Linked DNA regions of Bombyx mori. The protein of the gene in region 1 binds, or shares a complex with, the protein of each later gene. Links are inferred from orthologs where the notes say so. Each region holds a gene or a part of one and is shown in the gene's direction. Other genes may lie near its edges. The genes, in order: tRNA (guanine(10)-N2)-methyltransferase homolog and multifunctional methyltransferase subunit TRM112-like protein.

Region 1 (16,338 bases):
TGGACAGTTTCCTTCGTTTATTATTATTAATAAACTGTAAATAATTAAAACGGCGAAAAAAATCTTAGTAGTTGACACTGGCTAATGCACAAACCGTGCGCGTGCAAGTAACCGTAGACTATACGGTACACATAATTTTTACAAGTGACAATAAAAAAAAATTTAAGGACTGCAAAATGTGCGAGACAATGGGATTTAATTAAAAAATTATTATTATTGTTTAATTTATGAATTGGTGTAAGTTAAATGTTTTGCGGCGTACAAATAAATTAAATACTAAATCTGCTGCAAATTCTAACCAAAAGACTAAAGTAATGTAAGCGGTGTCTAGTAGGCCTGGTGTTAGTCCATCAAGAGTTTATTTCGTTTACCTTAATTTTTTATGGTTACTCTGAAACGTATAGTAATTAACAGAAACTCGATATTTGTACGAGCCATGTCTGAACACAATTCAAATTCCAACCAGTCAGAAAACATGATGGATACTGAACAACCCAAGTTAAAAATATTGGCTTTTCACGGTTACCGGCAGAACGGTACCGTATTCAGAGCTAAAATAGGATCATTCCGGAAGGCTGTTGCTAAATACGCACAGCTAACTTTTATTTCTGCCCCTCATAAAGTCTTGAATGATGGCAGTGGAAGTGAAGGTTTGTTGTTTACTACTGTAAATATATAATTTAATATTGAAAACTATAAATTTTATAATTTTAATTCCACAAACTCTTGATTCCTTCTTCTAGCAATCAAATACCATGGATATTTAGTAGTCTGTTATTTCTATTTAATTTTTATTACTATAGATTCAGCTGGTCACCTTGTGTGAAGTGGTTACCAGAAGCTATAAGGACTTGAAATCTACACCTACAAAGTTTTACATTTAAGGTCAAAGGGCAAAGTCTTACTTGCACCAGAAACCACGATAAAAGATTACTTGGTCACAGGCTTATGAAGCAAACAGAAAAATCAAAGAGCAACCCAACATTTACAACAATCATAACTTTTGATTAATAGCTAAAGACACAATCCTCATCTAAGATTTTTTTTCTCTGCTTATCCATGTATATAATGAATGACGAACAATAATATTGCATGAAAGTTATGTCAAAAAATAAAAATAAAATTATTAATTGAAACTAGAATCTAACAGTGAACATAAAAATAGAGGGAGAACATAACACACTACTAACAATTATTTATTTATTTTATTGACTTTGCAGCCACACAAGCATACTGCCTACCTGATGATGAGTGGTTGTCATCGTTCTTGAACGAGAGCAATGCTAGGAGTATGCCAAGACCATGAGTTTAAAGTTCATTTGAAGAAAGCTATGCTATAGGCTCAGGAAACAAAATGTCATTCTACACTTCTAAAGAAGATCATTCATGTTTGAATTTAAGCCACAGTTAATTGTTTTCACAGATTCGCGCTCATGGTGGTTCAATTCAGAAGATAACACATTCAGCGGCAAGTGTTTAGGAGGTCCGGCTGTGGGTTTTGAAGAAACTTTGAGATTAATTGAGTTGGTGGTGGAGGAGCATGGACCTTTCCATGGATTTATGGGTTTCTCACAGGGAGCATGTTTGGTGGGCTTATTGGCGGCCATGCAACAAAAAGGATGTAAGTTAAAAATTGATGTTTTTCTTCTTTTTCGTCGCTTCCGCATTACTGAGGGTCGTGACCACCTTGGTCTAGTTTGTGCACCAGCTTCCTCCAATGTTGCCTGCATTCGACCTGCTTAATGGCACCCAGGATGCTGGTGTTTGTGACCTCCTTGACAATGTCCGTCCACCTGGTTAGCAATCTTCCTCAGCTTCTCTTTCCTTTTAGATACTCTTTTTATTTGTAGGCAGAACATACAACCCACTTATTGGGGAGTGGTTGTCGTCACTCATGGATATCAACAATTCCAGGATCATCGCCAGGTTGCTATGTATAATAAAATCAACATGAATGCCTGCCAAATAAAGCGTGCATAAAGAGCAAAACTAACCTTTATCTTTGTTGACCTGGCTGGTTGAATGATTTAAGTCTTCAGTGGCTATCACAGCCATAAGACATCACAGTATGGATGCTGTTATCCAGCTAGAGATATTATATCAAAGTTACAATTTTTTTGTATAACGACTTTTCCACCTTACTTAAAATAGAAAATGTGGAAAAGCATTTGTGGCACACACAAACAACAACATAATCTGAACCCTTAAATCCAATTCAACAATCAAAAGAATTGGACTTAAGGGTTCAGATTGGATTCCGAGAATATAATAATACTTATCATACATCTCCTAATGCTGACTTTTTGCAATTAGTTAAGAAAGCTAGCACAATAATCATAAGTAAAAAGTTCCTAATCTTTTTCGTAATATCATGTATTCAGATTATCTTACGACTTAGTTATTTTGCATACATTGATGCAAAGAAAGTTTAAAAGATGTAATGTTTTTTTTTTCAGATTTAAAGTATGCCTTCGATTTTGCAATATTTCTGTCAGGATTCAGATCAGAGAGTTTAGTACATAAAGGTTTTTATGATGAGGATATTGCATTGCCTTCATTACATGTTTATGGCGAAAGTGACTCCATTATACCAAAAGGTACATATTATACATTAATTAATAAATGAAAATCTGGTACCCACATGGGAAAGTTTGAAAAAATTTGTATGTCCTCTAATATTCACGAGACACTTAAATTTATAGATAACTGATTCATGTAATTCTGATCTATACAATGAAGCAATTATTCATTGTTCCAATTATAATATTGGGAAAAATATAGGTAGTCTTTTAAGTGGTTACTGAGAAAATTACCTCGGCAGCTTTTTTCTTATTTTTTTTTTCGCTATGGCAATTGGTTTCCTGCAATTGACTATTTGACAAGTCTTAATTGTTATGCATAACAGCTGCCTCACCACTCAAACTGGAATGTATGATTCATGGCGGAAATGGACTGGATATTGGTACCTGCTGAACCCCCCAAGAACTAAGTTGAGAAACTAAAAGAAATTATTTTGTTTTAGAAATGAGTGAATCTCTAATCAACATATTCATAAAACCGACGGTATCAGAACACTCTGGCGGACACTATGTTACTTGTTCTGATGGCCTAAAGTATACATACCAAGATTTTTTGAAGAGCAGGCATCAGGAACTAGTTGAAGAAAATAGCTCCGATAAAAATGAGAAGACATAATTTTAGTTTTAATATATGTACTTGTGATGTGTAAATAATAAATATTAAATTAGAATTAAATAATTAAGTCAGCGATGTAGTTGTTATTTTTCCGCATTTCCATATTAAAAATTACCGACGCGTATGTATGTCCCCAAAATTCCTTAAGAATATTCGACGTTTTGAGCTAGAATTGTTTTCATTTAAAACACATTTATTTTTTACTACCCAAAGAAAGACCTTTTTCATTCTGAAGAGCTTACTATGCAAAATGTGTTCTTAGATAGTCGGAAATGTATAACATGACAATATTAATTGTTACCATTCCGAAATTTTAATTACTTAGGCTTAAAGGTCGAGATACAAGCAGCGCTGCCTTAGTACATGAAAAAAAATCTAACCAAAATAAAAACAGCAGCACGTGACATTCTTAGATTAATGATAAATTAAAAGATAATTACAGTTAATAGAAATACAAAAAACTCATGGAACTAATGTGTACTTGAAGTTAAAATGTGGCGGCGATATTTATTATGGTTCGCTCACGAACACGTTGATTTCAGACATGCTGTATGTGCTTATCTTTTAGTGTTATCAGAATTAAATTGCATTATTACTAAAAACATTTACTAAATGTTTCAGGAAATCAATAGTATTTTGTCCTTATTCAAAATACCCATCAAATTCATTGAGAAACCGTGTTTGGAGAAGCCGTATTGGATTGTAGAGCTCCCTTCAGAGGATTGTGCGAAAAAGATCGCCTCTCGGTCTGTTTTGATGAAAAATTGTATAGAATTGTGGTCAAGAGCTAAAAGTATTGACCAATTACATATTAATTTACGCAAATCACTTCAAAATACCACCTCTAAATGGATTTTCGAAAATGTGGAATGTGCTGAACATATCTGCCCTAAAGAATTGATTGATGTGTGCTGTTCACCTAACAGTTCATTTAAAATAGAAGTCGAAACATTCTGCAAACATTTTTCAATCCAGGAAAAACTGGATAAAATTGAGGTCTGTAATAAATGAATAATTTGCTAAATATGGTATCTCATTAATTTCTTTAAAAAATATTTACAAAACCTCCCATGGTAAAACTATAAAATAAACTTTTGAATGATTACTTATGAAATCAAATTATTTATTATTATTCTTTCAAAGGAAATCTAAACTATTTTGAATACATTAAATTATAAAGAAAAGGAAAATACTAGTTTACATAAGTTTTGGTAGGAAACTATTCAATCACAGCGCAGTATTAAGATATTAATAAATATAAATTACAGGAATTTACATACTTACCACTGAAAGGATCAGTCAAATTAAAGAATCCAGATATTACATTATCATACCTGGAGTTTTATGGAGTTAATCCTAATAATGTACCTGAACAACCTTATGACTTGTTCTTTGGAAAATGGGTAAAATAATTATGTTTTCTTATATAAAAATCTTTAAAGGTTTCATGATTAGGTTATAATAAAGGTGTAAAATTCTGCTCTAAATTTATTGCACCACTTAGTCTAGTATTTATAAGATTTGTTGTCTAAAACATTTTTTTTCTAATTTTCTTCTTACATTCATTCCTAAGCACCGTGTTTACTAAATTCAAAGTTAATTTAAAATATAATATTTAAATTTGTAGATATCTGAAGGTCAAAGGGATTTAATTCGGTTTCATTCATTAAAAAAACGCAAGTTCATTGGGAATACAAGCATGGATGCGCAACTAGCTATTGTGATGGCTAACCAAGCCCAAATTGCTCCCGGTCATATTGTGATTGATCCTTTTGTGGGCTCTGGTTCATTGTTGATTGCAGCTGCACATTTTGGAGGTATTTGTTTGTATAACTTTTGTATCTTCTATGCTATTGTAGAAATTTTAAACTGAACTAATTATTATTTAAAGTCGCCTTAATTATCATTTACTTGTACTTCACCACTGTCACTCCTACCAAGACACTCTTATAGTGAAAATCTGTCCATCTCATCGAATTTCTAGCTACCTTTGGTCATTTCTCGAACAAGTCAGAGGACACCCTGCCTCTTTGGTACTTACGTGATAGAGCATAAAAGAAACTAGATTATTTAAAGTACCACACTCAAGAGGGTTTTTTGAATATTTTTTGAGTGGACAAACTCATGGACCACCTGGTGTGAAGTGGTCACCAGAGGCCGTAAACATCAACTATGTCAATCCCACCGCTCATCTTGAGATATGAGTTCTAATTCTCCCTTTTTAAAAATATAATGTTTTAAACCGAAACGCATTACTGCTCAGAGAAACAGGGAGGGTGGTGGTACCCACCCGTACGGCCTCTCAAAACACTACCACCAGTAATTATGCAAATTATATTTTTTGTGGGTTTGATTTATTATATGTTGTTATTCCTTCGCCGTGGAAATCATTTGTGAACATTGTCTAGTACATGTTTTATTACAAAACTAGCTACGTACGAATTCGAACACTGGCACATTCGCATCGCTCAATACAAATGCACTGGCCCTCTTATCCTTTAGGCTACAATGACTTCATATGTCTCTGTGTATTTGTTTCTTCTGTAACTAATGTAATAACTATTGGCTTGTTTGTAGCATACGTATGGGGTTCAGATATTGACTACATGATGCTACATGGTAGAACGAGACCAACACGAGTCGGTCAAAAGGTAACAATGTATGTATTAAATATATGTGGTGTTGGAATGTAAACGTAATAAATAGATTTATTATTATTTATTGGAACAGATGAAATACCATACATAACATTGAGTCTGTATGAGATCTAAGTCTTGACTACATAAGATCTTCGTTACGTTATGCTTTAATTTTATTTCACAGCATTTTTTACTGCACTAAATGGTGAGAGTATACAATCCCTTTAATATAAAATGATTATATACTCGTATGCAATTGCTAATGTTTGTTACATAATTGTTATTGTGTCTGGCCCACCCCACACACTGAAATATATGACTGCTTAAACATGATTATTATTCTTTAATCTGCAAACACTAACAGAACTCTTATTGTTACATTATCTCCGTGTTATTATTTTACTCTGAAATAATTAACATTACATATAGGCAACTGAACTAAGAAACAATCAAGTAATATTATTAACATTTAAAAAAAAGCATACCTAAAAATGAAATATAATTACTAATAATAAATAAACTGATACATTCTCTCACAATTGCAACAGGTACGATCAAAAGAGGAGAGTATTAAGAATAACTTGAAGCAATATGGCACGGAGTCTAAATACATTGATATACTGGTCAGTGATTTTTCGTTGCCGCTCTGGAGGGATGGAGTTAAATTCGACGCTATGATTACCGATCGTGAGTTCGTAAAACTTAAGCTATTTCCCAATATTAAAACTAAAAATTACACTATGGTGATATGCTACCGCAAGATTTGTAAAGACCTACTGAGGGCTAGAAACGCATGGGATAAATGCCGATGTTGATGAGTGATCATAACCATTTAGAATCTAGTGAATCATTGGTTTTCTTCAATAACAAATAACTTTCTTGCAATTTGCTTACTCTATCACTTTTTTGGGATACGTTTTTTGATACAACAATATATACCAATCCATTGTAGTAAACAAAAAATTGTTGAATTTTATTAGTAGGAGGCGTCTAACACAGATTTTATTGAAATTAAAATGAACTAGTAAAGTTGTTTCCTGAAACGATAACAATTTAAATGTTAAATGAAAAAACCACAACAGTCCCTGCCAAAAATAAAAAGTTGCTGTCACTCTGGATGATGTAAGGAAGCTAAGAAAACCCCAAAAATGAAATAAAGAAACTGAGATACATAAATCCTGAGAATATTACGGTCATTTTTCGGGCAGTGTAAAAGATAGGGAGTGATACATTTGATATTTGTAATCTTTTAATGCACTATGTGCGTACTAAAGTAACAAATAATAAATCAGCTGGTGCGCGGGGTCAATGACCTCTCACAGGAGACTCACGCTAATTTCGCGTTACATACACTTACATTATACAACATATTTCTAAAAACAAAAAGTATTAAATTTTATATTTGTTTAGTGTTGTATCGATTCAGTATAATTGAAGACATGAGTGAATCAAGGTGATAAGTGCCTATAAACCATATTAGACTCCGGGATTGAGACTTAAATCTCCGGGTTTAAAGGCTCTTTTTAGAAATTGCATGTGATGAAGGATTTACGTATGAAGAACAAGTACAAGTACAAAAGTTTGTTGCTCATTTACTCAAAATTAACAAATTGTATCATATCCACTAATGTCTTTAATTATATGTATGCATGAATTGATTGAAACAGATCGAAATCTCAGATTCGTTTCAATAAGTTAACTCTTAGTTAACTATACTTATTTAGTAACAAATAATTAAGTAGGGCTACATCGTTTCTTAGTTCAGAAATGCATGATGGTTGCAATACCTGAAAGGAGTTTTTTTTTTTTTTTATTAAATTACATCACGACCTAAAATTTCAGCACCGTACGGCGTTCGCGAACCAACAGAGAAGATTGGTATAGAGCGAAACAATTACACTCTATCTGAGGAGCACCTCACAAATCACATACCTTCGAAAGTGGAATACGGCCTTCCTCATATCTACAGTGACCTGTTGAATTTTGCCGCAAGACATTTGGAGATGAACGGGAGACTGGTCTGTTGGTTTCCTGTTATTAGGTGAGGATTAGGAACCTTTACGAATATGCAAATTAAAATAGGCGCGTAGGTTCAATGACCTCGTAGAACGTGGAAGGTACGTTCTGAATGAAGGTACTTCTGATTTTTGTAGTTTATTTCACCCGTTCGAATCAATAAAAATAAATGTTGCATTACTTTCGTATAGTGCTAAAACAAAAATATATACATACTAGCTGACCCGGCAACTTCGTAGTGCCTCAATCGATAAAAGATCTAAACTTTTTTATAAAATCCTAGCGACCCGCCCTCGCTTCGCTTCGGAAACATTAAAACACACATGAAACAAAAAAAAAAAAAAAAAAAAAAAAAATTTTTATTTTTTTTAAAAAGTAGCCTATGTTCATTAGGGACAATGTCGGCTTCTAATGGAAAAATAATTTTTCAAATCGGTCCAGTAGTTTCGGAGCCTATTCGAAACAAACAAACAAACAAATCTTTCCTCTTTATAATATTATTATATATTATAAAATAAACTTAAAACAAACAAAAGGAATCTGTCCGACGGGGGACACATCAAAGGGAAAACAAAATTGTTATTTTTATTTAATTCCACGACATTTTTGCAACTTTACAGAAGAGCCATTTGAAGATTAAAATTTGGAAAAAATATCATAACAAAAACTTCTTCAGCTATTTGAATGGGGTAAACTTAATTGAAGTTCAATTAAAAACATCGAACTGCCGATGCTGATTCCTAATAAAACGCACCTTTAATTACAAAGATAAATGTCTCTTAAACTAAATAGCCTTTCAACCCTCGATATAAAATTTTGTTTACAAAAATGACATAAGAACATAATTGGATCGATCGAATTTTATATTGGTAACAATGATTTCAAACTTGTTAATTATTAATAATATTGTTTTTGAATTGTATGATCAAGGGCCGACTATCAAGATGAGCAGCTGCCTTCTCATCCGTGCCTCAAGTTGATCGCAAACTCGGAACAGATCTTAACCAAGTTGACAGCGCGACGCCTGCTGACGTATGAGAAGATATGTGATGACGTATCCAGCGTAACTGTTGATCCCAGCAGTGGAGTTCCCAATTTTAGGTAACTTCTATCCATCTATACTTAATACTATAAAGAGGAAAGATTTGTTTGTTTGTTTGTATCGAATAGGCTCCGAAACTACTGAACCGATTTGAAAAATTCTTTCACTGTTTGGAAGCTATACTATTCCCGAGTAGGATATAATATTTTTGAAAAAAATTAGGTATCCTCACTAAAACTCCAATAATGTAATCCAAGGTGTAAAAAAATTACCTAAAATATTCTTTACATCGCGTGCCCTGCGAAAACTATTGATGATAGAATAAAATAATGTACTACGACTTTGTAGAACACATTATTATTTACAAAAAGTGACGCGACAGCATATGTCTAACTATTATGGTTATGCCGCAATAAGTGTTCTTTTATTTTTAAAAATTAAACGTCATATATCGTTGAAATTTTTGTTAAAGACCCGAGCGGAACCGGAGCAGGCCGCTTGTCTATTATAAAAGTGAAGTGAAAAGTATTTGTGTATAGAGAATGGGTTACATAAAAAAAAAAAACATTAAAAATTACGATGTTTTACACACTAGTCCCAAATAAAAGTTTTGTTTTTATTCTGTAACAATAAATACAGTTTGTACTGCTATTATTTTTATTGCTTTATGTGAGACGTTATGTCAACATTACTGTTGTTAAGTGGTTCCAATAACCACATACACATACATTGACATTACAACATGAAAGCCTTGAAATAAGTCTCGATTTCTACTGTGTAACGTCAGTGCAATACCCCAAAGGTCTCACTGTTTCGTCCATGTAAAAATATCCGAAATTTTATCATAATCCAAATATGAAATTTTCATAATTGGGTATTTTTTTGGAAGTCGTAGACATCACAGTGGTCCCAGAACCGTGCGGTCCCACCAGGGTGTTTAGTGCGAGTTTTTTAACGTTCTGGATAGCGTAAAAGTTAACTCAAATTTGTATGGAATTGGAACGCTTGCCGTTAGGGGCGCTGTTCCAACTGCATACAAATTCGATATAACTTTAAATAGTTAAATGAGAACGGGAGAACGTTAAATAACTCGCACTTCGCAGACTGTTACCGAAGTTAGTTTTTTTTTATTGCTTAGATGGGTGGACGAGCTCACAGCCCACCTGGTGTTAAGTGGTTACTGAAGCCCATAGACATTTACAACGTAAATGCGCCGACCACCTTGAGATATAAGTTCTAAGGTCTCAGGTATAGTTACAACGGCTGCCCCGCCCTTCAGACCGAAACGCATTACTGCTTCACGGCAGAAATAGGCAGGGCGGTGGTACCTACCCGCGCGGACTCACAAGAGGTCCCATCACCAGTAAAATGCGATGACTAACATTCATTTGTATTTTAGAGACAAATACTTTGCAATCGGAGAAGAAACAAGACGCGAACGTAAGGAGAGGAGAGCGGAGGAGATAGCCACGTACGCGGCGGTGAAAGCGAGACTCGGTAATGAAGTCACATAGCGCAATTTAAATGTAAACTGTAATATATCATTTTAAAATAAGTACACTTTGTTTTTATTTAGTTGTTTTGTGTAGAGTTTAGGTCAAATGTCGCTATGGATTGTGTAGTTTAGTCATATTAATATTTTAAAGTAATATAGTTCGTTTAAATCTCAGCAATAGTTACAGAAAACGGATAATATAATTAATAAGATATGTTCTATGTGTATACAACCTCGAACCCGCAACTTGTCACAGGACACCTCTGGCAGGGTTAGTTTCTTTGGTTATTATATAATATAATAAGAGAAACCTCTTTATAATTTAACAACTTTATTATTTAAATACTTACATAATATTTTAAATTAGGTCTTTAAATTATAGAACGTAATTTAAACATTTTAAAATGCTTTAAATTAAATATAAGAAGTGAAACAGAAACTTGAGACTGGCAACACAGATTGCAAGAGCCAAGCTAATAATTTATATCGATGAATATTAATAATTATTTCATATCAAATTAGACGGTTATTAGAGGAATATTCAAATACATGTTGACGAATAACACCTTAGGCGCGTACCTTAGCATCTCACACGAATACTGTGAAGTAATTTGCTTATCAGGAGGTCAATAGATATCGAAGTTCGCCGGTGTTCATAGTCAGATTTCTTGGTTATATTTATTAAAACTAAAGCTACCTGGTCTCGTATTTCCACCAGATTTTATTGATCTACATTACTTTAAACCAAACTATACACACATCACAATTATGCAAGTAACCATCCAAGACTATATATATATTTATTAATTTATTTATTTATTACACTTCATGTAAAATTTACATTGGCGGACTTAATGCCTAAGGCATTCTCTACCAGTCAATCAAAGGTAGTGCAGAGTAAATAGTTAATTGTACCATTTGAAACAAACCAAATTTATTTGTTTTTAACCCAATGATAATATTATTAAACTAGATACAATCGCAAATATCTATTGAAATGTTTAATGTATCAAATATTTTCTAGAAATTAGCTCAAGAGGAAATGCGGAGTGTGTTAAGTTCATATAAAACATGTTGCCCTGTTTCTCCATGTATCGTAGTACATTGTCCTTGTGTTTTTTTAAATATATTTTTGATATTGTATATATTGATTGAAAGAGCTAATCCGGCGGTAAACAGTTACCAGGTATCATTGCAATTTCCTGGTATCCGCAATTCCTCTAAGCAATGCTACTATAAATAGATTTCTAATTGATATTAATCCGAAATACACTTATCAACATACATAATGTGACTCCCAAAAACCTCGATGCTGAGTCCCAAAAGACATAACATAATGAAAAATACCAATTAATTTATTCAGTTATGGCCAACGATAGCATCATCTGGGACAGTTGACTTGTCGGCTGAGTTTGTTTGGTTGCTTTGGACTGAGCCCAGTGGCACAGTTTCCACACTTCCTTGCGCTTGCCACTGTTCCCTGATGATTTGTAGTGGTTCAGTAGATTTGTTGTTGTCTGTTAAATAGGCACAAAGGTAATTTTTTTAACAAAGTTACTATTCTTTTACATGTTTATGTTGACGTATTGAGAATTTGCTCGGGTAACCACCCAACTGTTTCTTTTGCTGCGTAATTGCTATGTTGTTCTGGCCTGTAAGGTGTGGGGATGACCACTACAGAATACATAGCCTTTTAAAACATTATTATATTTGAATTCTGATAACCAAATTGCACAATTTGTTTACTACTACTACTTACTACTACTAATAGCCTCAAAGGGCTATTCTGGCTTCACTGGGTGTGTAAAGGCTCACAGGGCTTAGCCTGAGAGATTTTGCTAACCTTTACTATAGAAAGAGCAGTGCTGAATCTATCACCGGGTCGGAATGGCGACCCACCAAGAAGAAACTTAGTGGGTTTACAAGAGTCGAATTGGGAGTATAAGTTGTTCTATTTATTCATTCCTCTGAACTATGGAATCATTCAGATCGTATTTTCTAACAATATTTTTTCTTTCTTTGTTCGTGTCTATGTGTTAGCTTCGAATAAGTTGTAAGTTTCTATTCGTTGTTGGCAACACCGGGGTCTGGTCACGGCAACATTAACGTACAACAGGTGTAATTAGAAAATGTAATCATGGATATTCAACCTTACACCACTGAGATTGAGAAACACTTTTCTATATCTACTTTAATTCACTTGCACTTCGTTCTCGTTTTATGAGATTAACGCTTGTGTCACATGTACTTACCAAGTACAGACCCAGCAGCGACCTCATATTATCTGGATTGAGTTTCACAGATTGACAGTAATACAGTTTTGCCAACTCCAGATTTTCGATGCCGCCCTAAGGACAATAATAGACAATATACAGTTTTAAATATAATATCTATACTAATATTATATGACTGAAGAGTTTGTGTGTTTGAACGCGCTAATCTCAGGAACTACTAGTCCGATTTGAAAAAATCTTTCAGTGTTATATAGCCCATTTATCGAGGAAGGCTATAGGCTACACGCTATAACATCACGCTAAGACCAATGCAAGCGGAGCACCAATAAAGAATGTTTCAAAATCGGGGTTTTAATCCCTTTTGAGAGCTTCCACTGCGTGCGCTGCGGAAACGATTAAAGTATCGCTAAAGTAATGTATGAGAGAATTGTTTCCCTTTTTACAGTCCAGGTGTTAAGTGAATACTTAAGCCTATAGGTCAATTTGAATACCACCGACCACCTTTAGACTAAGATCTTAATGGTATTGTACAACTCTCTCCCATAATTCAAACTGAAACGCATGACAGATCCATGAATGACACCGGTATGTGTGTGGTTCGAGAAATTTTGAAAAGAAAAGCTTAGAAAGATGTTTAGCTTTGATATATTTAAGGCTTACGAAAAATACAACAAAGTATATGTGTAGTTCATATATGTAATTTAGTTATAGTGAAATTGTTTGTAAAATGTAGAGCTCTAAAAATGGACTTGAAGCCCATTTCATAATTTTTGTTGAACTTAAACTTCCAATTATCAATTACATAATTAATCAATAAATTAATTAATTGTAGTAGTTATGTTAACATACCATTGTGTACCGAATATCAGCTAGCCTCTGATGATGCAAGTGGCTGTGAGGCTGATGGAGGAGTAGTTCTTCGGCGCAGAACACGGCACGAGAGTAGTCCTGAACCTGAAGGTACAGGTTGCAAAGCTCTTGCCAGGCTTCCACATCTGACATAAACCTAAATAATACAGAGTAAATTTCTTTATTCCACAATAATTTTTTGTGAAACTTGATATGAATGAGGACAGGTGCTTTCAAAAATTATACGAGTATAACAAACATACTTTTTCAAATAGTCCACAAGTTCCTTGATCGCTTCGACTATGTAACCTTGAGCTTTCAGAATCGCGATCCGGCGCTTCCGTGCTGCTGAATTAGTTTCATCTACTTTGATTATGTTGTCCAGTAATTCTAAAGCTTCATCGAACCTATAAAATATTATGAGCATGAAAAGCTGTTTTTAATTTAAAATGTACAATGTAAATGTACCTGGAAACGAAATCAAATGTTGCAGATCAGCTTACAACCAACCTGCTTTCATTTAGATACTAGAGACCATAGACATCACAACATGAATACCGTCATTCACTTTGAGACAAGATGTGTGACCCATAAAACTGGAGCACATGACTGCTTAATAGTAATCATCTATTATTAATAACAAATAATTGCTTAAGGTAATGAATATCTTAGAGCCAAAACAAAATAGTCTACAAACAATAACTTACTTCTCCTCTGCCTCTAAAACAGCTGCTTTTAATTTCATAACTCTTAGGCTACCAGGAAACTCATTGGATAGCATCACAAGGCACAACATTGCTATGCAGTACATGTGACAGTCCAATGCTGCATAGATTACTTGCTCCAATATAACGTGTTCTGTAACAAATGCTACATATATAGATGGTGTTGCATATAATTATACACTACAGACATTACATAAACACAGTCATGAGATATTATTATAAAATCAAACTATCCACAACTGTAAATTTTATTATATTTTAATGAATTTGGTCTTTCTATGTCATATCTGTGATTGGTACATTCAAAGTTCTCACGGTTGCTACAGTTCTGATGAGGATGAGATAGCATAACTAGTTTATACTGAAACAGTAATGAATTTTAAAGGTGGTGCAGCCATTATACTATAAAACTCATGTATAAAGGTGAGCAGCATACAGTACTCTCTTAAGAGAAGATGGGCCGCAATACAGCTAAGCAATAAAAAAAACTTCATAAGGACAACCTTTGAAGCACTTTTTACAAAACCATATTATCATACAGGTTGCTAGATCTATCAACATCAGCATTGAACTCCATTGAGAACAGGTTTGACCAATAATCCAAAATTCAAAACACACACACATCAGGGTTATAAGTTATTTAAAAGTTATAAACTAGCATTGTGTTGTTGTGCTTTTACAACCTAATTAATTGTCTACTAGAATAGTAGAAGTTACTAGAAAAGGTAGAAAAAAAATATCTAAAACCACAATGTGTGTTGGCTGGTGAATAGATGTATTCTCGGTTATATTTCATTTACTTATCCTCAAGTATTTGAGCTGCTTGTACATTTGCAAATTTAAGCGATTCAATACATAAAAAGATCTATACCAACTCTCGTTTCCAAGTTTGTTTACATCTTCTCTGAGAACCACATCCCAAAGTTCTAGCACTTCTTTGCCTCTCCTCTCATTGTTTTCCCTCCATTGACGGAGAAGATCCTTTGCTTCTACAAAACAATATTTCAAAGTTGTGATTTCTGAGATCTAAATACTGATTATCAACTTGGTCTGTTATCTATGATGACCTCAATGAAAACTGTCTCATTGTTAACGTAATGTGACTTAAACAATTCAGACAGCTGAGTTTGTTTTGCCAGTTGCTATTAGTACAGTAGTAGATTCAGTTACATTAAGCTGATTCTTCTAACATGCAAGCACACTTGATGTTTACAAATAAATTGTTTAAAAATATAAAACTACTGTTTTTAATACTTATGTTCATATTTTGTATTATAACAAATTAAAACTCTCACAGTAAAATGTGTAGTTTATTGATGTGTGAACAATGACCTAATATCGAGGGGTGAAAGGCAATTTGGTTTAAGCGACATTTTTTCAAATTTACATCGGAGCCATTTTAGTTTAAAATATGGAAAAGATATCGTAACAAAAAACTTTTTCAACTATGTATTTGACTTTGTTAAGCTTAATTGAATTTCAATTAAAAACATCCGATTGTTGATAATAATACCAAAAAAACGGTATTTTAATTATAAAGACAAATGTCGCATATTAAGCGAAATGTCACTTAAACCAAATAGCTTTTCACCCGTCGATATTAACTACAAGATGGCTAGCTAATCTAAAACACAATTAAACACGTTTCCTCCATTGACTAATAAAGACTGGTGGCCATGGAATTGCATTGAGGCCTTTTGCCAGCATCTACTCCCGCCCCATTTGCATGCATCCTCCTCAGAGGCTCATGAGCGATAACAATAGGGATGTGTTTGCTATAGTATTCAAAATTAAATGTCATGCAGTTTGAATAAAATTCTTGATATTCATTTCAGTCAATTTACTCTGCATCTAAGACAGCAAATTTTTTTTCTTTAGTTTACCTGCTAATATGATAGCTATATCAAAGATCATTTTTTGGATTCACTGTTCTAATACAGTAATCTTTCTAAAATGAACAAACAGAAGTACAATACCCGATACTGGTAGTAATTGAGGTATTTTCAGCCCATATAAGTACAATCTTACTATGTATACTGCAAAGAATTCATACATTTCGATTGTAAGGGTCAGAGTATACTTTTTATAGTGTTTTTGTGCGAATCCACACATTCTATTAGGGAGGTTATATCCTAAGTATAAT
Region 2 (16,876 bases), on another chromosome or scaffold:
TCGATGCGCCACTTCCGGAACCACGGTCCCATGGTGGTGGCTGCGGTCTGAAGTCGTCGATGAAGCAACGCCTTCTTCCTACACGAGTAGTAGATGGCGGTGTCATCGGCGAAGAGCGCCAGATGGGTCTCCGGAGACCGGGGTATATCATTGATATACAAACTGAATAGTAACGGGGAGAGGGCGGAGCCTTGCGGGACTCCGGCTGTGACGTGACGAGGGCGGGAACACGTTCCCTCGACTCAATATCGGAACGAACTGTTCGACAAGTAGTCTCGTATGATGAGCACGAGTCTGTCTGGCACCCCCATGTTATACAGTTTGTATATCAAACCGTTGTGCCAGACTTTGTCGAACGCCTTCGCTATATCGAAGAAGAGGGCTCCTGTCGGGATGGATTATTTCAATACCGAAAAGGCGAAAGTATGGTGGAAAGGCACCATGGAGTCCATTTTTTTTTCTTAAATCTTATTTTTATCATGTCATGTCCATTGATGAGAAAGATGCAAATGTATCAAAACAAAACAAGAAACAATAAAAAGTCTGAATTTAAAAATGGAATCCATATTTTAAAAATAAAGTTCATTTTAATTTAGAATTAATTGCCAAACATACAACAATAACGTTTTAAATGGATCTACGAAGACTATAATAGAGTTTTTGAACGAACGCAGAAGCTATTTCACTGGCAAGCATTTGGATGCACTTTTTTTTTCTATTCTGATAACCTTGAGAGACTATAATATCAGCACTACCCTAGCGTGTAAGTGAGCTCTCGGGGCTCAAACAGAGGTGTTGCTAACACTAGCCCTAGCAAGAGCGGTGCTTCGCAGAATCTACCACCGAATTAGAAACGCGACCCATTGAGAAACTCAGTGGGCTGTGTCTATGGGTTAATTTACTCGCCGAGCCCTTCGTCGCAGCCGACGGTTTCGGCGAGGACGGTGACCCGTGCTTGAGGTACCTAAAAGCACCGTTAATGGATCGGGAGGATCCGTAACGTTGTAATTTCCGGCAGCAACGACAACAGGGTTTTCGTGTCGTGCCGTACGCGTCTTCTCAAAGTGGCGCAGTTGGATGATCAAGGATTTCACTTCCTTTTCACACATTTGTGCAATTTCACCGATGCTAAACGGAACATAAACAATCATCATTGCAGATTAAACCGAAGAAACACTATTTAATAACGCAATTCAAAAAACTTCACTCGGTATGATTCCACCAAGAAGTCCAATCGAAAACCAATATCTACATATTTTTGTGAGGACGGCGTTGTGGGTCTTTAAAAAAAAAACTATTAGGAGCCTAAATTTTTCTTTATTCACTACAAAACACGGAATTACATTACGTAAACTAATTTCGTTATTTCAACAGCATTTACTAAATTGACGGAAACTGAACCAGTAAGCAAGCACACTTCGAGGGGTGAAAGACTATTTGATTTATGCCCTTTTTTGACTGGTGATAGGACCTATAGTGAGTCGCGCGGGTAGGTACCACCGCCCTGCCTATTTCTGCCGTGAAGCAGTAATGCGTTTCGGTTTGAAGGGTAGGGCAGCCGCTATAACTATACTCGAGAACTTAGAACTTAAATCTCAAGGTGGGTGGCGCATTTACGTCGTAGATGTCTATGGGCTCCAGTAACCACTTAACACCAGGTGGGCTGTGAGCTTTTCCACCCATCTAAGCAATAATAAAAAAAAATGCGACATTTATCTTTGAAATTAAAAGTGCGTTTTATTTGGTATTAGCGTCAACAGTTCGATGTTTGAAACGGAACTTCCATTAAGTTTACTCCATTCAAATGGCTGAAGAAGTTTTTTTGTTGATATTTAAAAAGGGTGCGTGTACTTATGTACGCGCGTAAGACTTATTTTTATTAAATTTATTTCTTTTTTTTTAATATTAAATAATTATTAATAAATATTTAACGTTAAAAAATGAATGCTAATAACACTTTTTTTACGAGTGTACATGCGCGAATGTTCACCTGCAGCTATATTCAGACTCGCCAAGTTACGTCGGTCGTATTGTAATGAGCGATTTCTGTTAATTTTGTGTCACGGTGCGCGCGCATCGTAAAATTTCACTCATCAATTTTTCATAACGCGCCTAAAGAAGTATAACTTCAATAAAAAAAAATTGAAAACTGTAAATGGCTCTCCTGTAAAGTTGCTAAAATGTCGCTTTAAACCTAGCTTTTACCCCTCGACTTATATTTTTATAGCATTGTCATAAATATGAAAAAAATTGAGTTACAGCTTATTTTGCGATTAGGTACACAGTACGACATCGGCACAGAACAGTTCGTTACAATTTATTTTAAAAGAAATAACATTCTGTACTTTAAAGTAGACATTCAACAATCGTAACTTGTGAATATCTGTCTGATCTGAATAACTACTGTAGATATTCACAAGCAATGTATAAGCGAGTTACGGAATACGGGAAAATCAGGTAATTTTAGGCTTCATTTTTCAGGGATGAATTCGTTTTTATCTTAAGTTGGATACACGCAGCGCCCACTTCATATTGAGGAGCTAGCGTAGCTCATACATGAACAATAGGTATGAACGGCGCAGTTCACTGTAAGACGTTTATTCGAATTCACTTGCACTGCTGAAATAACAATTCTTCCTGTGTTGTTCGTATATATCCCGTTCTATTTTCAATATTCTATTAGACTTATTACAACAGATAATATTATTATAAAATATGCATAGCGGCACAAAGAAGCAGGAAATTTATTTCATAAATAGTACGAATAGAATTTATAAGGGACTAAATATTACAAGATTAGCCCACTGAGTTTCTCACCACATCTTCTCAAGGGATCCCTATTCCGATCCGTTGGTAGGTTCTGCGAAGAACTGCTCTCGCTAGGACTGGTGTTACCAAATTCTCTCGGGTTGAGCCCGTGAGTTCACCTACCGCGCGAAACTGGAATAGCTCTTTTGGCTACCAACGATTAAGTAGGGAAAAAAGTACCAGCAAATACCAACCTATTTGAAAAAAATACAAGATTTTTTCTATTTCAATTGATTTTAAGGACCGTTGAAGTATTTTGTATTAGCTTTAGTGACTTACTATATATAACGTTCACGTTCAGCAAACATGCAATGTGCCGCATATTGTACCCTCAGATCCTTGTGATGCACTCTGCTACTACTACTTGCGATAGCACCACCCAGAGTATAGGTAATTGCTCGTCGAATGTCAGAGTTCGATGTGAAATCTAGCCCATAACATCAACCCGCCGAGTTAGTTCCTCGTCGGAACTTCTCAGCAAGTCCCAATGATCCATTCATAATTGCATTCACAAAGCAGGTGCCCTCGAGCGGTTGAGTCAGTTGCTAGCAAGCACTCCACTCCTGAGTTCAAGATGAGTGACTTTATTTACTTTTGATTATGTAAGACGTATGCGGGCCGTATATCCTGATTATGCAATTTAAAAATTGAATTGGAAGTTAGATCTGTAATTTTCGACTTTTAAAGAGAATTTCGTAGGCTTTTATCAAGATCCGAGTGATAGGACACACATTTACAACTTCAGTTTGCTGTGGGCTATTGAGATAGTCCATTAATACTAACAAAAATATAGACGAATTGAGCGCTCCCTTATTTTTTGAGCCTGACATGAGGCTTACAATAAACAATAAAAATTCGCTTTCTCAAAACTGTAAAGCACATAAATTCACAGTTCAATTATTCTTGAATATAATGAATTCAATTTTTTATTATGCAATTATCTATGTATGTTTTATTTGAAACATTTCATTATTATTATTATTATGCATTTATCTTAACGCCTAAAGACTTGTTTGCTTTAGGTTTTTAAGACAGTTCTATGAATTGTAAATAGTAATCCTAATACAACATTGTCAGAATATTATAATTACATACAATATGTCTACACACAGACTACAAAATAAGAAACACAGTATTCAATTAATGCTAAAATGATTAGAAGATCCATCTTCTTGGTCTAATCAGGAATAAAATTTTATACACAATTTTCAAATATATTAAATTACAAACAACTTAGTCATTCATATAATCTTTTTAAAAACATTAAATATTTTATAAAAACTGCAGTCACCAATAAATTCTAGAGTAAAGAGCTTTCGAAAGGAACGATTTCATTTAACACTAAATTTCATTAAAATCACTTCATTTATAAAAATAAATTAAGATTTCGGATTAAACTCTCTTAATTTCTAGAAATAGAATTACTGTTACAAATTGTAACATTACAAAAAATTCAGGTTTCGAATGGAAATTTTGAAGACCCTCGTCTGGTTGTCGTCGTCATAAAAAAACCAGTAAAATAATATAATGTAAACTATTGGGGTCGCACTAATTTAGTTTCGATTTTTACCATGTCATCGCCTTTGTGCATTTCAACTTGTACAATGGAAAAAACTCCAATTACTTGTTTAGTTTCTGGCAATTCATTCACCGGTTTCCATTTCAGTTCCATTCGAGCCAACTTCGCAAGTTCTTCGTGTCTAATACACTTATACTCTCCAGGAAAATCCTACGAAAAAAATTCCGATAAATTAAAGAAATATTATCACTATGAGTAGGAAAAAGACATGGGTAGATGCAGTACACATGCAGAAGTACTAAATAACTCTTTGTCGCTGTGGCACAGACAATGACTGTCGCTGTTATTTTCCTTTTATTCATGTAACTGAATTTCAAATCACAACGGTGCTAAAGATGTTTTCCTTAAAACTGCATTGAAAATGTTCACGGCCACTAATACTTTCAAATTCTGTCCTTTTAAAAGCAAAATAGAAAAATAGGGCAACCTCATATTTTTAGGTATGTTATTTGTTTAAATTAAGGTATCAGAAGAAGACCATCAGGAGTTAAACAAAAAAGGATAATCTCCTTTGAGAAGTCATAAGTTATTTTTTAATTAAAAAATAATTCAATTAGTGAATAAGATGCTTAAGTAATAATCAATTTTTTCAAAACGTTGGGGTTATATACTTGTGAAGTACACTGAGTGAAAATTAAAACTAATTCATTTTAGAAATGAAAAAAATTAATAAATAAATAAACAGTAAATAGGACTAAATAATATGGGAGGTTTAATTAGATAAAACCTTAATTTAATTAGGTAGATTTAGCATAATAGATGCAAGTAAGTGCATGCACACATGCATTTATATTTCAATTATCGATAAAATGACTAATGAAATCAGGAAAAGTAATAAAGACATTTGATAATTTCTGATATAATTCTAGATTTTAAATCATTATTAAATCATTAATAATGTCATTGGGTATTCAAAATGAAAGGAGAAATATGTGCACTGTACATAATTTATCAGTTATAAAATTCAAGGTATATGCTCAGTACCTATATAATTTTGTGACACAGAGGGTATAGACACTATAGTTTAAAGATGGGTAGATGGTATAGTATATAGATATAGTATATAGGTGTAGATATCTATAGTAGATGTGTATATTGTTTCTCTTTGAATTTTGCATATACTCATTTTATGCTTAAGAAAATTAAATGATATTATATAAAAATCTTACATTATTGAAAAATATTCTCCGGTTCAGGCCCATGGAAACAATGATAACATCAATATATTTCTCCCTAATGTCAACCACAGCACCTTCAGTGACTATGGGAGAATTAAGTTCAATGTACTTTAAAGTGTACAATTCTGTTGACATTTCACCAGCCTTTTTAGCATTGTACTTCTGTTTGTTACATTGAGCAGCTATCATGCGTACATCATCTTCCTGCCATGCTGGAGTTTCTCTATAATTTAAGCTTGCTGCTAATAGCCTGAAAACAACAAAGTTAAAGTTATCTCAAATGTATCAGTAGTGCAAATAGAACACATTTTCAAAAACCAAAAGTATATCATGGCATAACAATGTCTTAAAGCGGTTTGTTTACCATATTAAGTATGTCAAAGCTCGGTTCACGTTTTAGATCTGTCAAAAGTAAGTGACTAGCACTTACTGCAGCAGCCATTTATTGACAAACAGTGTAGTTGCGCACTTAATGTGTGCTTAAAGATTACAGTCAGCTTACCTATGAACCATAATGTCAGCATATCTCCTAATAGGACTTGTGAAATGAGTGTACAGGGGCACATTCAGAGCATAATGTTGAAATTCATCATCATCACAAGCAGCAGCACAAAAATATTTTGCTCTTGTCATAGGTTTTGCACATAGCAAATTTAAAACCATGGCTCTTCCTTTGTCTGTATTGTCTGGTCCCACATATGGTAGTAAAGATCTGTGTAGATGTCCAGCCGATTCGATATCTAATTTTATGCCCATTGGTTTTAGAGACTTTTCTAGCTGCATCAACATATATTTACTTGGTGGTGGATGACTCCTTAAAAATGCCAGTTTTGGGTGGTCACTATAAATACGTGTAGCTACAGACATGTTAGCGAGCAACATGAATTCCTCAATGAGTTGATGGCTTTCTTTACTCTCATATATGCAGTATGACTCTGGTAAACCACTAGTAGGATTTAATCTAAAACTAGCCTTAGGTTGATCAATTCTCAATGCACCATTCTCAAATCTATTTGCACGAAGAATATTTGACAATTTGCCTAAAATTTTTATTGATTTGTGCACATCTTTGTAATCAAAACCATTGTACATTTCTGGAAATTTTATTTGAGCATCCTCTTTGTCATCAAGAACATCTTGAGCATGTTCATATGCCAACTGACAGCATGAATTTATAACAGTCCTAGCAAACCTGTAACTAATAACTTTAGCATCCTTGGTCATTTCCCAAAAAACAGAGAAAGCTAGTTTATCTACACCAGGGAATAGAGAACAAAGCATACACAAATCATCTGGAAGCATGTGGTAAGCAGTTTCTACCAAATATATTGTTGTAGCTTTTTCTGCAACTTTCACATCAAGCGGAGTGTTTTCATTTAAAAAATATGTAACATCAGAAATATGGACTCCGATCTCATAATTACCATTTTCTAGTTCCTTGCAAGAGACTGCATCATCAATATCACGGCAATTAAATGGATCAATACTAAAGATACATAACATCCGACAGTCTTCTCTCTTTGCTATTTCTTCATCGGGAATTGTAAAGTCAAGTTGAGGATACAAATCCTTGTATTCAGAGCCAAAAGCAGTAACATCTAAATCATTTTCTGCTAATATTGCTTTTGTTTCAGTGACCATGTCTCCTGATTTACCAATATTACCCATAATTTTTCCTACAGCAAACCTTGTATCAGACCAATCTATTATTTTTGCAACAAACAATGTGTTTTCATATTTCTTGGCATCTTCATAAAAATTATCTGGCCATGAAGTAAATGGTATATTTATTCTTGGTACTCTGTGATCTCGAGGCACGAACATAGCTTTTTGTCTATTTTTGTCATGCATTAGTTTGAGTGAACCAATACAAGTTCTAGTATGAACTTTTTCCTTGATAAAAACTACTTTCCCTCTTTTTTGTTCAGGATTAGTAACGTTTTCTTCAGGTTCATTTTCAACTAATTGTACTATTACTACATCTCCTTCCATTGCACGATTTCTATTCTTAATACCGTCTATTAATATATCTTGTTGACTCCGGTCTTGACTTGAAACATATGAATGTTGATATTGTTTTGGATTTATCCTCAGAACACCTTCAATAAGCATATTGTTCTTTAAACCTTTCTCAACATCTTCTCCAGAAAGGTATGCATCAAATTTCTTGTCACCATTTACAAGAGTTTTAGTTAAGCAATTGTTTTCTGAATTATGCCTCAGTCTGAGCTGTCCAATTTGTATTGTACCAGTTTGTCTTGAAAATGATGGATTCAATAAGGGGTGTTGCAATGCATTCTCTATGAACCTTGGAGTGCTAGGTTCAGAATGAATAAATGTAGAATTTGGAATACAAACAGGTTCTGATCTCTGTCCTGATAATATTAATGGAGTGATAGGTACACTAGCAACATGCTCTGGGCTTTGTAAAATATCTCTCATGTGTTGGATATTCTGCATATATTGATATTGTGGATGGTGACACAGATTTTCTAAATACCTAGAGCTGGTACTTGCATACAATGGTGTAATCTGTTGGGTAAAATATTCATGCACAGAGAATGTACTATTTCTAGGAGACCCAAAATAGTTAAATAAATACTGTGAATTTTGTACTCTGTTTGTGTTGTTAAAGTTATTCACTGGTACCGTAGGTATTTCCAACTTTTTTAGTCGTTCCTTTTTCTTGGCGTTTTTTCCTTTCGACGGGGTAGTTGGGGTTACCTGTTCTGTCTCCCCGTTATCACTGTCGCTTTCAATTTGCAAATTCTGGCACTTATTGGAAACATCGTTAATTGATGAATTGTTGAATACCATGGTAGGTACTGTAACTTCTGATCTTTGTTTTTTTTTTGATTTTTTGGGTGTTCGTTTAGGTGAATCGACTTTGTTTTCATTTATTGCTTTGTCACTTGATGTTTTTTGTGGTACTGACGACGTGGAGACCACCGATGTTGTTGGTTCACTGCATGCTGCATCCATTCTTAATGAGTTATGGCTTGACATGGCGCAAAAAAATAAAAACTGTAAAATACTTATAAGCAGGTATGGAGTATTACAAGCCTGCTGCTTTTGTCTATAAATGTGAATGATTACATTTCTCCTCAATATTTACAATAATTTTACACAGAATTATACTCAATTTAATATTTTTAAATATTTATGTACGGCCAACGGCTACAAGACCTTATATCCATTCTAATTTAAAAAATGTAAATATATTTTTTTTCAACAATTTAATATAAATGCTTATCCCTTCCGAATGCAAAGAAAGGTCAAGCTAGTAAATTGACCGTCAGACAGAGCCCACTGAGTTTCTCGCCAGTTCTTTTCAGAGAATCTCGATTCTGGTCCAGTGGTAGATTCAGAGAAGCACCGCTCTAACTAAAGCTAGTGCTAGTAAGTTCTCCATGCTGAGCCTACACGTTCGGTGAACCTGGCTTATCGCCTCGAGGCGCAAAAATTTTGTACCAGTTTTCGAAAAGTAGTAACAATAATAGACTAATAGATTACATTGAAGAGACTCGGGCAAATTACTATTAATCCATTATTTATTTTATTACTTTCTTATTATACTCTGCGCGAGTATCACCTCGAGCTACGACTGAAAAGGTGAACAAGTTACAACTTTTTCGCGGGAACGCGAGGAGTGAAGTTGTGTGATTTGTTTTATTTTGTCTATTTAGTGTTTCTTCAGATTGAAATGCATAATAACGGTGGTTTATTAACTGTTTAGTATCTTTGAAAGTGCACAAATGTGGGAAAATAAAATAAAGCCGCTGGACGTAACTTATCGGGATCATCCAAAACGTCCATTGAAAAAATCTCAGTAAACGACCAACATTTTACTGAGATTATATTTCATCTCATCTCATTTCATTTGATTTCATCCCAGTTGATTAATGTCTCAAATTCTTCATTTCACTCCATATCATCATTTTTCATAAAAATACCCATATCATAATTATCATCTCATCTCATTTCAATTCATTTCATGCCATGCCATTAAATTAATCAGCTTCATTTCATTTCATAATATATTTCATAAAAAAAAAAAAATCTATAACAGACTAGGCTGTATGGTGTGATACCTTTGCCTTTCCATTTGGAAAAATAAAACTACCACTACTTACTGCTGTCAGGTCACTACTCACTACACAACTGAACAAAAACTAAACATAACCTCAAATATCTAATTATGCACGTAAAGTACATAATAACAAATATGTTTTAAGAAAATTCTACAAAAAAGTGCCAATAATCTTAATCGCTTGGTTCTACTCGTGAAAAGCTATTATTGTCAAGACTTCAATTCCTACTGAAGTTGCATAATACAAATATAATAATGAAACTAATTACCCACAATATGCTCACTTCGAAATGCTTGAAAGGTGTTGTGACTGGCTATCCTCTTGCAATTAACGCGACAGACATTAAAGTTAAAGAAGTCGATTTTAATCCTGAATTTATTAGTCGTGTAATACCAAAGCTGGATTGGGAAGTATTATGGGTGGCCGCTGATAGCATCGGCCACAGTGATGGTCTGCCAAGATCTTTAGAAAATAAGTATGATGAAAACGAAGAGTTTTTGAAGAAAGCTCATAAAGTCTTGTTAGAGGTGGAAGTTGAAGAGGGACACTTGACTTGTCCAGAATCTGGAAGACAATTTCCGATTTCTAAAGGAATTCCTAATATGCTATTAAATGAAGCTGAAGTGCAGTAGTTCACAATTTAGAGCCTGTACTAAAAATATTAGTAACAAATTTTTTATTTAAGCATTAATTTTATTGCAGTAACATTACATAGGATTGTTTTATTTTTTATGTAAAGAAGTGCTATGGTGCATGTAAATTTGTTTCATATTAAATATTTTAAGAAATGTACCATTACTTTATAATTTCTACAATATAATTTACTGTGAAAGATTTTTATGTAATCCTTGTATACTAAATTTTAAGTTGCTTAATAGGTAAAATCAGTATGAGGCTGCTTCAGGATTCTTGATAAATATTTGGGGAAAACTTTCTTACGCATATGTTGTATACTAAAAGTATCCTTTCAATAAAGAAAATATTGTTTTTCAATTTATATAATAACTTAACTGAATTATTGAAATGAGGTTATGTACTGTAAACGTGATAACATGTACAAAGCACTGAGGGCACCTTACTTAGAAAATACCAGTGTTCACAGTAGAAAAATGGTGACAATTTCTGACATTATATATTTCCCTATGATACGGTGATTGTATACTGTCAGTCAACGGAACGAATTTCGCCCCAGTAAGAGGACTGAACAGTCCTCGCAGTGTATATTGGAATATAGCCTTTACTGCACACTTTACTCTATTTAAAGCTGCTATATTAATTCAATTACCACTACCTGTACTAATACTATTTTAGTGAGCTTCAAACAATAACCTGCTGTATACAGGCGGACACTTTTTCAACTTGTACCTTAAACAAGATGGTACTTCTTAGTTGTATCCTCAAGGACGTTAATACTGATAACTTCATACTAGTTTAAAAGCTAGGACACTATTGTAAGTAATTGAGACTTCGACCTGTAATAGTATAATTACATCTTTTATGGCTGTAATGGCTTTTAAATTAAATTATAAATGATAAGAATTATAGATTTGAAGCCAATCACATGACTGCTATAATCTACAAAATATAACTAAAATTAGTACATGAAAAGAAAGCTGTTACTCTAAACTCTGAGTATAATTACAGTGCGTTTGCATTATATACACTACCACTCAAAAGTTTGGAAATACTAGGGTAATTTAAATATAAACGTCATTAAAACACACAAGCCATTATTTATTACAATTAAATCTGAATGAAATCAAGCAGTAAAATATATATAGTGAAAATAAATAATAAAATAAAATACTTTTCATTAAATATTAGGAGCTAAAGTATGAAATTGCCCCTATTATTTGCCTCGTTCTTTGGATTAATTTAACAAAGTATTCGGAGTCAGAGTAACTTCTATTCACTTTGTAAATATTTCCACAATGTACTGAGAATGATTTTTTATTTTTGATACAAAATTTCTTTATTTCGTTTTAGCTCTAAGAACATCAGAGATAATTTTTTTGAATGTTTGGGGTCATTGTCTTATCGGGGGCTAAGCTTTCCTTTATGGTCCGTCGATTTGGAAGTTCACAATTTTTTTGTAGATAGCAATCATAAATAGAAAGCTTTTTGCAAATTTTCAAGTTGCGGAAACTCACGGTTTACGAAATATAATTTTTTAAAGTTTCCCTAAGTACAAATTTGAAAAATCGTCAAGGTACCACTGAAGTAGGAAACCTTTATGTGTATAATCTATGCCTAGGTTTAAGCAAGGTACACGTCAAAGTTGACGTTTCGAGTTTCATTCACGGTAAACATGTATTTTATTACAGAAATATATTTTAATTTAATCACATTTTGTTCTAATTAATGTGCACAGTAATTGTTGCTGTATTAAGCAACTATATTGACTTTTGTACACAAAATGTAACGAAATAATGTTTACACTATGAAACGGAACGTGAGCTAACGCATTTTGTTATAGCGTCTTTATAACTGTCTGTATTAAAATATATTTTTAAATAAGATTAAATATAACAATAATAAAATTGCTCGTGTTTTAGTAATAAAATTTTCGATATCCGAAAAATATCCAAAACCGAATCAGAGCATCCCACTTTCCACCTGGTCTTGTCTGCCCTACCCCTAGTGTATATAAAAAACCGGAGGCGCGGAGGGAGAGCACTCCTCGGCCGCTGTGACGGAACATGGGAACAGCGCGAGGGGGAGCGGCTGAGGCTGGTCCATCAAGCCGAAGCTGCGAGCGGAGTGTGAGTGACCGTGCTTCGGCACGCAAGGGCGGAAGGGCTGCTCTTCCCGCAGCGTCGGAGATAAGGCGGTTTCTTAGCTCCCTTCGAGTTTAAGTAAATAATGCTATTTTAATCTAAACAATTAACAATGGATATCTTTATCACCATGGGGATGTGGGCTGGTGATGGTGCAGGGGATAAGCCCTTATACCCCTCCCTCCTCGACTCAAAATTGATAGACCATAATTGGAATTCTAACCCTATGTTGACTAAATAGTGGTAATCTAAACTCAAAACATTAACCGTGAAAATCTTCATAACCATGGGGTTCCGCGGGGTGGGGATGATGCAGGGGGTAAACCCTTATCCCCTCCCTACCCCCACCCCCACCCAAAAATCGACGGATCATAATGGAGCCCAGGCAAACGTCGATTTGGGTTCGATAATATTTTAACGAACGATCTTCGTGTTTTGGCGTAGATTTGGTACATCCAGCTTACTTATTTCTGGTCTTGTTCTAAATTTGGATCTTGATCTGGTCTGTTCAAAAGAAATCTGTTTCCTTCCTTTTTGCCATTTGATGTGCCGGTAAACTGTTGTAATTATCACACGAAATCACCAAATACACTGAACAGATTATTGGGTACATTATCATAGATTATGCACTTAATATTTGAGATACTATTTACTACGATGAGGCCCGCGACGCATGCTCTAATCAGAAAATAGTTTTAGTAAAAAATAGCTTGGTTAATATTATTCTTTGTCAAAACATATAATCAGTATTAAAATTAGGTATTATTTATCTTTTTTATTCTTCCATTCTTTCCATTTATTCCCAAGGCATCATTTAAAAGTGAAGCTATATTTTACTATTGTTGGGGAATAACTGGAAAATATTTTTGAAAATAAAATTTTCTGCGGCCCTCCAGCTTTTGTAGTAAACTTAATTCGCCTACAAAGGTATGCAGTTTAAACAGTCCTAGTCTAGAAAGTGTCTTAAACTCTCTTTTGTCCCGAAAAACCTTTTTTTCCTACGTAAGTTGATGGTCTTGAGAGATCGGCCGAGTAAGTAGGTAAATAATTATTTAGTTGTTTTGAAACAATTTTTTAACCAATCCAGTGGCTTCAGAGATTCTTTCAAAGATACTAAAAACTTGCCTCCTTATACATTACTTCAGACATCTGGTACTCATGAAGCATCTCCAAAATAATTTTTATAATTAACAAATGATTTATTAAAACAATAAATTACAATCCATATTGTTTCTAATTTGTTGATTTATTAAGGTAGGTAACAGATTAAGGAATAAATTAAGATTTAATACCGAGTTTACAATTCATCTATATAGGGAACAAATGCTAAGTTTCCAACAGCGCCAATTGAAATCTTGTTCTTTGCCGCATTCGAGACAGCCTGGAAAATAAAAGTATAGTGTATAACATATGTGTGTACCCACCCAAGTTTAGTTCTGTATGTAGATAAAATGGCTAAGGTGAAACAATTTCAATTTCTCCTCAGTCAATGGATTCTCTAAATTAATTATTTAGTAGCTATTGACGAGCTTTAGCTTTTTTCTTCTTTATTGCCTTTGTAGGCAAACGAGCATACGGCCCACCTGATGGTAAGTGGTCACCGTCGCTCATGGACGTCAACAATACCAGGGGCAGAGCCGCTGCCTACCAAACCTGCTAGTATTATGATTTAAAAAAAAAGAAGAAAAAAACCATTTTGTTGAACAAATAGTCGGCCACAAAAAAAGAGAATTTGATAAGTACATAAAATTAATCTAAATCTTCAGGCGAGATTCATTTTTGTTGAATTTTGATCTTTGGGCACAATATTGAATACTCATAATTTTAAATGACAAAACATATGCAGCCACTTCATAGAATACTTGTATATTTGGAGCAGCCTTGGTAAGTCTTCTGAGTGATATCCATGAAAATATGGGATTAGACATTTATTATTTTATTAATTATATAAAATTTATATTAATTATTGTTTAGATGGGTGGGCGAGCTCACGGACCACCTGGTATTAAGTGGCTACCAGAACTCATAGATAAAGTAAATGCTGCCACCTTAAGATATGAGTTTTAAGATCTCAGTTTTTACAATATAGCTGCTGCCCCACCCTTCCAACCGAAACGCATTACTGCAGAAATAGGTGCCAGGTAGGTGCGGACTCACAAAACGTCCTACCACCAGCAATTACGCAAATTATAAGATTGCAGGTTTGATTTTTATTACACATTGTTATCCCTTCACAGTGCAAGTAAATCGTGAACATTTGTTAAGTACATAATATTTCATAAGGAAAGTTGGTACCTGCCTGCGGGATTCGGACACCGGCACAGTTGCATCGCTTGATACGAATGCACTGACGTCTTGGTCAGCAATTTGAACAAACCATTAACTGGATCTTGGCAAGAATTTGTGCTCAATCAACAGAAGATTATGTCCAGCATTAAGTCGTATTTAATTAATGTTTATAATTTTCTTGAATATTAAAAAAATATATATATATTTTATTGTTTATCTAAATCACCTGCGAGATGTCATTATTGGATATCTGGTCGATATCCTTGGCGATGTCAACAGCAGAGCGAACAGAGCCGGTGTATAAGCCTTGCGCTGCTAATGATTCGGCAAGCGACGATCCTGTGTCGGCTTCATTTAACACTTGTGTCTTCAACTGATTTTTGCCCGCTTTGATAGCGTCCGCACTCAGTGAGGTTTTTAAGACCTTAGCTACAGCTTTTACGGCCTGAAACATTTAATAAAAAGTATTTTTAATAGTGACTACCATTTTAATATTTATATCGTCGTCGCTAAACCAATATGTGCAACGTGCAAAAATTGTATCATTGACATACTAAATAAAAACTTGCTCTAATAAATTTTATAAGATTAATAAAGCAGAATAACAATTTAAATTATAGATTTACGTGTTTTATCTTATTCAAATTTTATTGTATTCAAATGGAATAATTGATTTATTATTTCTAAATTAGAGTAATCTCCAAAAAATGCACATGAACAATTACAATTATGTTAAATGAACAATGAGAATTTGTTGAACATGTTTTGGTGCAATATTTAAATGATTTTCATTTTTCACTCATAGTCATGAGACACATAGGACAATAACAAGCCTAAATTGTTGCCTATGCGTCTCATTATCAAAATTCTTTATACAGGTAAACCTTTTAATTCATGATGAAAATTATGTAATTGCGACGCGAAAGCGTATGTAATATTCTTAAGGACAAGACAACCATTGTAAGAAAACATTTTTACTTAATGTTTCAAATGGCAATGTTTTTGGCCAAGAACACGTCTGCATGTCCCAGCAACACAAGAAAATTGACACTTACGACTTTAGCTTCGTCTTTAGGTACAGATAGAACAACGCCGAATAGTCCATTGTCGCTGTAGCTAACGTTGAATCCGGCCGCTGCGAATGGGCCGATGTTGCCGATGGCCTTTGCTAGAGGAGAGTTATCGGCCCCCCACTTTGTTACGGGACCGTTGCCGAGTGCTGCAAAATACAGGAAATATTCATTACACACAAACAAAAGTAACCAAAAAAACCTACTGGAAGAGATTTCAACATGAAATAAGTAGTGGTCTTGTACTCTGTATCCTTATTGTCGTGTTTCTTCTAACAGCTGTGTGTACAAAATAAATTAAATAAATAAATAAAAAATAATAAATAGTATTTTTCTGAGTGACGGTCTCTTTCTGTATTTCTGAAAAGGTGCATGTACGCTAAGCCTTATGACGATCAGTTTATAAATTAAGACGTTAAAGCGTAACAAATAAACTCAGTTTCGAATTTATAACATTAGTACAGTTTAAGCATACGTCACGTTTTTCGGCAGAGAAAGTGGCAGTTGTCTCGTCATTCTGTCAGATGGGGGGCAGGAGACCAAAAAACACACATTCGGGTTCATAATATTACTTTTAAAACTATAAAGTTCAATCAAACCTTTGAAATTACACACAAAAACTTATATGAGACAATAACAATTACATTCACACTTCGAATACCTCAAAGATGCATTAGTTTTAATGATCGATTTTCAATTTTATTAATTTACTAGCTGACCCGGCAGACTTCGTAGTGCCTCAACCGATAAATAAAAGACACATCAAGGGGACACATCTAGGGAAAAACAAAATTGTTGGTTTTTATATAATTCCAAGTATTTTCATATTTTTTCACCTTTTAAACCTTCTCTGGACTTCCACGAATAATTCAAGACCAAAATTAGCCAAATCGGTCCAGCCGTTCTCGAGTTTTAGTGAGACTAACGAACAGCAATTCATTTTTATATATATAGATTAATTTTTAATTATTCTGCTGTCTTTTTATTGACTTTAAAGATTTTTTTTGACACACCAACACAAACCACTTAACAGTGAATAGTCCCTGCTACTCGTGAATGCCAGATTAGGATAATTCACAATCTG

What was found.
Region 2: tRNA (guanine(10)-N2)-methyltransferase homolog (region 1) and multifunctional methyltransferase subunit TRM112-like protein share a complex: the UniProt entries of both Homo sapiens proteins name them as parts of the heterodimeric TRMT11-TRM112 methyltransferase complex. The link is inferred for Bombyx mori from reciprocal best matches to the Homo sapiens genes TRMT11 and TRMT112.

Annotation. Positions count from the first base shown.
Region 1 is NC_085112.1:2,176,312-2,192,649, reverse strand, and holds tRNA (guanine(10)-N2)-methyltransferase homolog, read left to right. Parts: upstream 1-3,515; 5' UTR 3,516-3,687; coding exon 3,688-3,744; intron 3,745-3,816; coding exon 3,817-4,191; intron 4,192-4,463; coding exon 4,464-4,598; intron 4,599-4,822; coding exon 4,823-5,012; intron 5,013-5,772; coding exon 5,773-5,846; intron 5,847-6,382; coding exon 6,383-6,521; intron 6,522-7,676; coding exon 7,677-7,875; intron 7,876-8,780; coding exon 8,781-8,951; intron 8,952-10,291; coding exon 10,292-10,406; 3' UTR 10,407-10,447; downstream 10,448-16,338. Other genes in the region: esterase AGAP003155, read left to right, coding at 383-650, 1,424-1,621, 2,457-2,597, 3,023-3,195; ER membrane protein complex subunit 2, read right to left, coding at 11,743-11,904, 12,640-12,735, 13,471-13,627, 13,734-13,877, 14,178-14,328, 15,071-15,184. UniProt on the Homo sapiens protein: Catalytic subunit of the TRMT11-TRM112 methyltransferase complex, that specifically mediates the S-adenosyl-L-methionine-dependent N(2)-methylation of guanosine nucleotide at position 10 (m2G10) in tRNAs.
Region 2 is NC_085117.1:12,723,728-12,740,603, reverse strand, and holds multifunctional methyltransferase subunit TRM112-like protein, read left to right. Parts: upstream 1-9,724; 5' UTR 9,725-9,910; coding exon 9,911-10,288; 3' UTR 10,289-10,653; downstream 10,654-16,876. Other genes in the region: DIS3-like exonuclease 2, read right to left, coding at 4,343-4,537, 5,557-5,815, 6,068-8,571; Uqcrc2 (ubiquinol-cytochrome c reductase core protein II), read right to left, coding at 13,731-13,814, 14,949-15,167, 15,778-15,941. UniProt on the Homo sapiens protein: Acts as an activator of both rRNA/tRNA and protein methyltransferases. Together with methyltransferase BUD23, methylates the N(7) position of a guanine in 18S rRNA.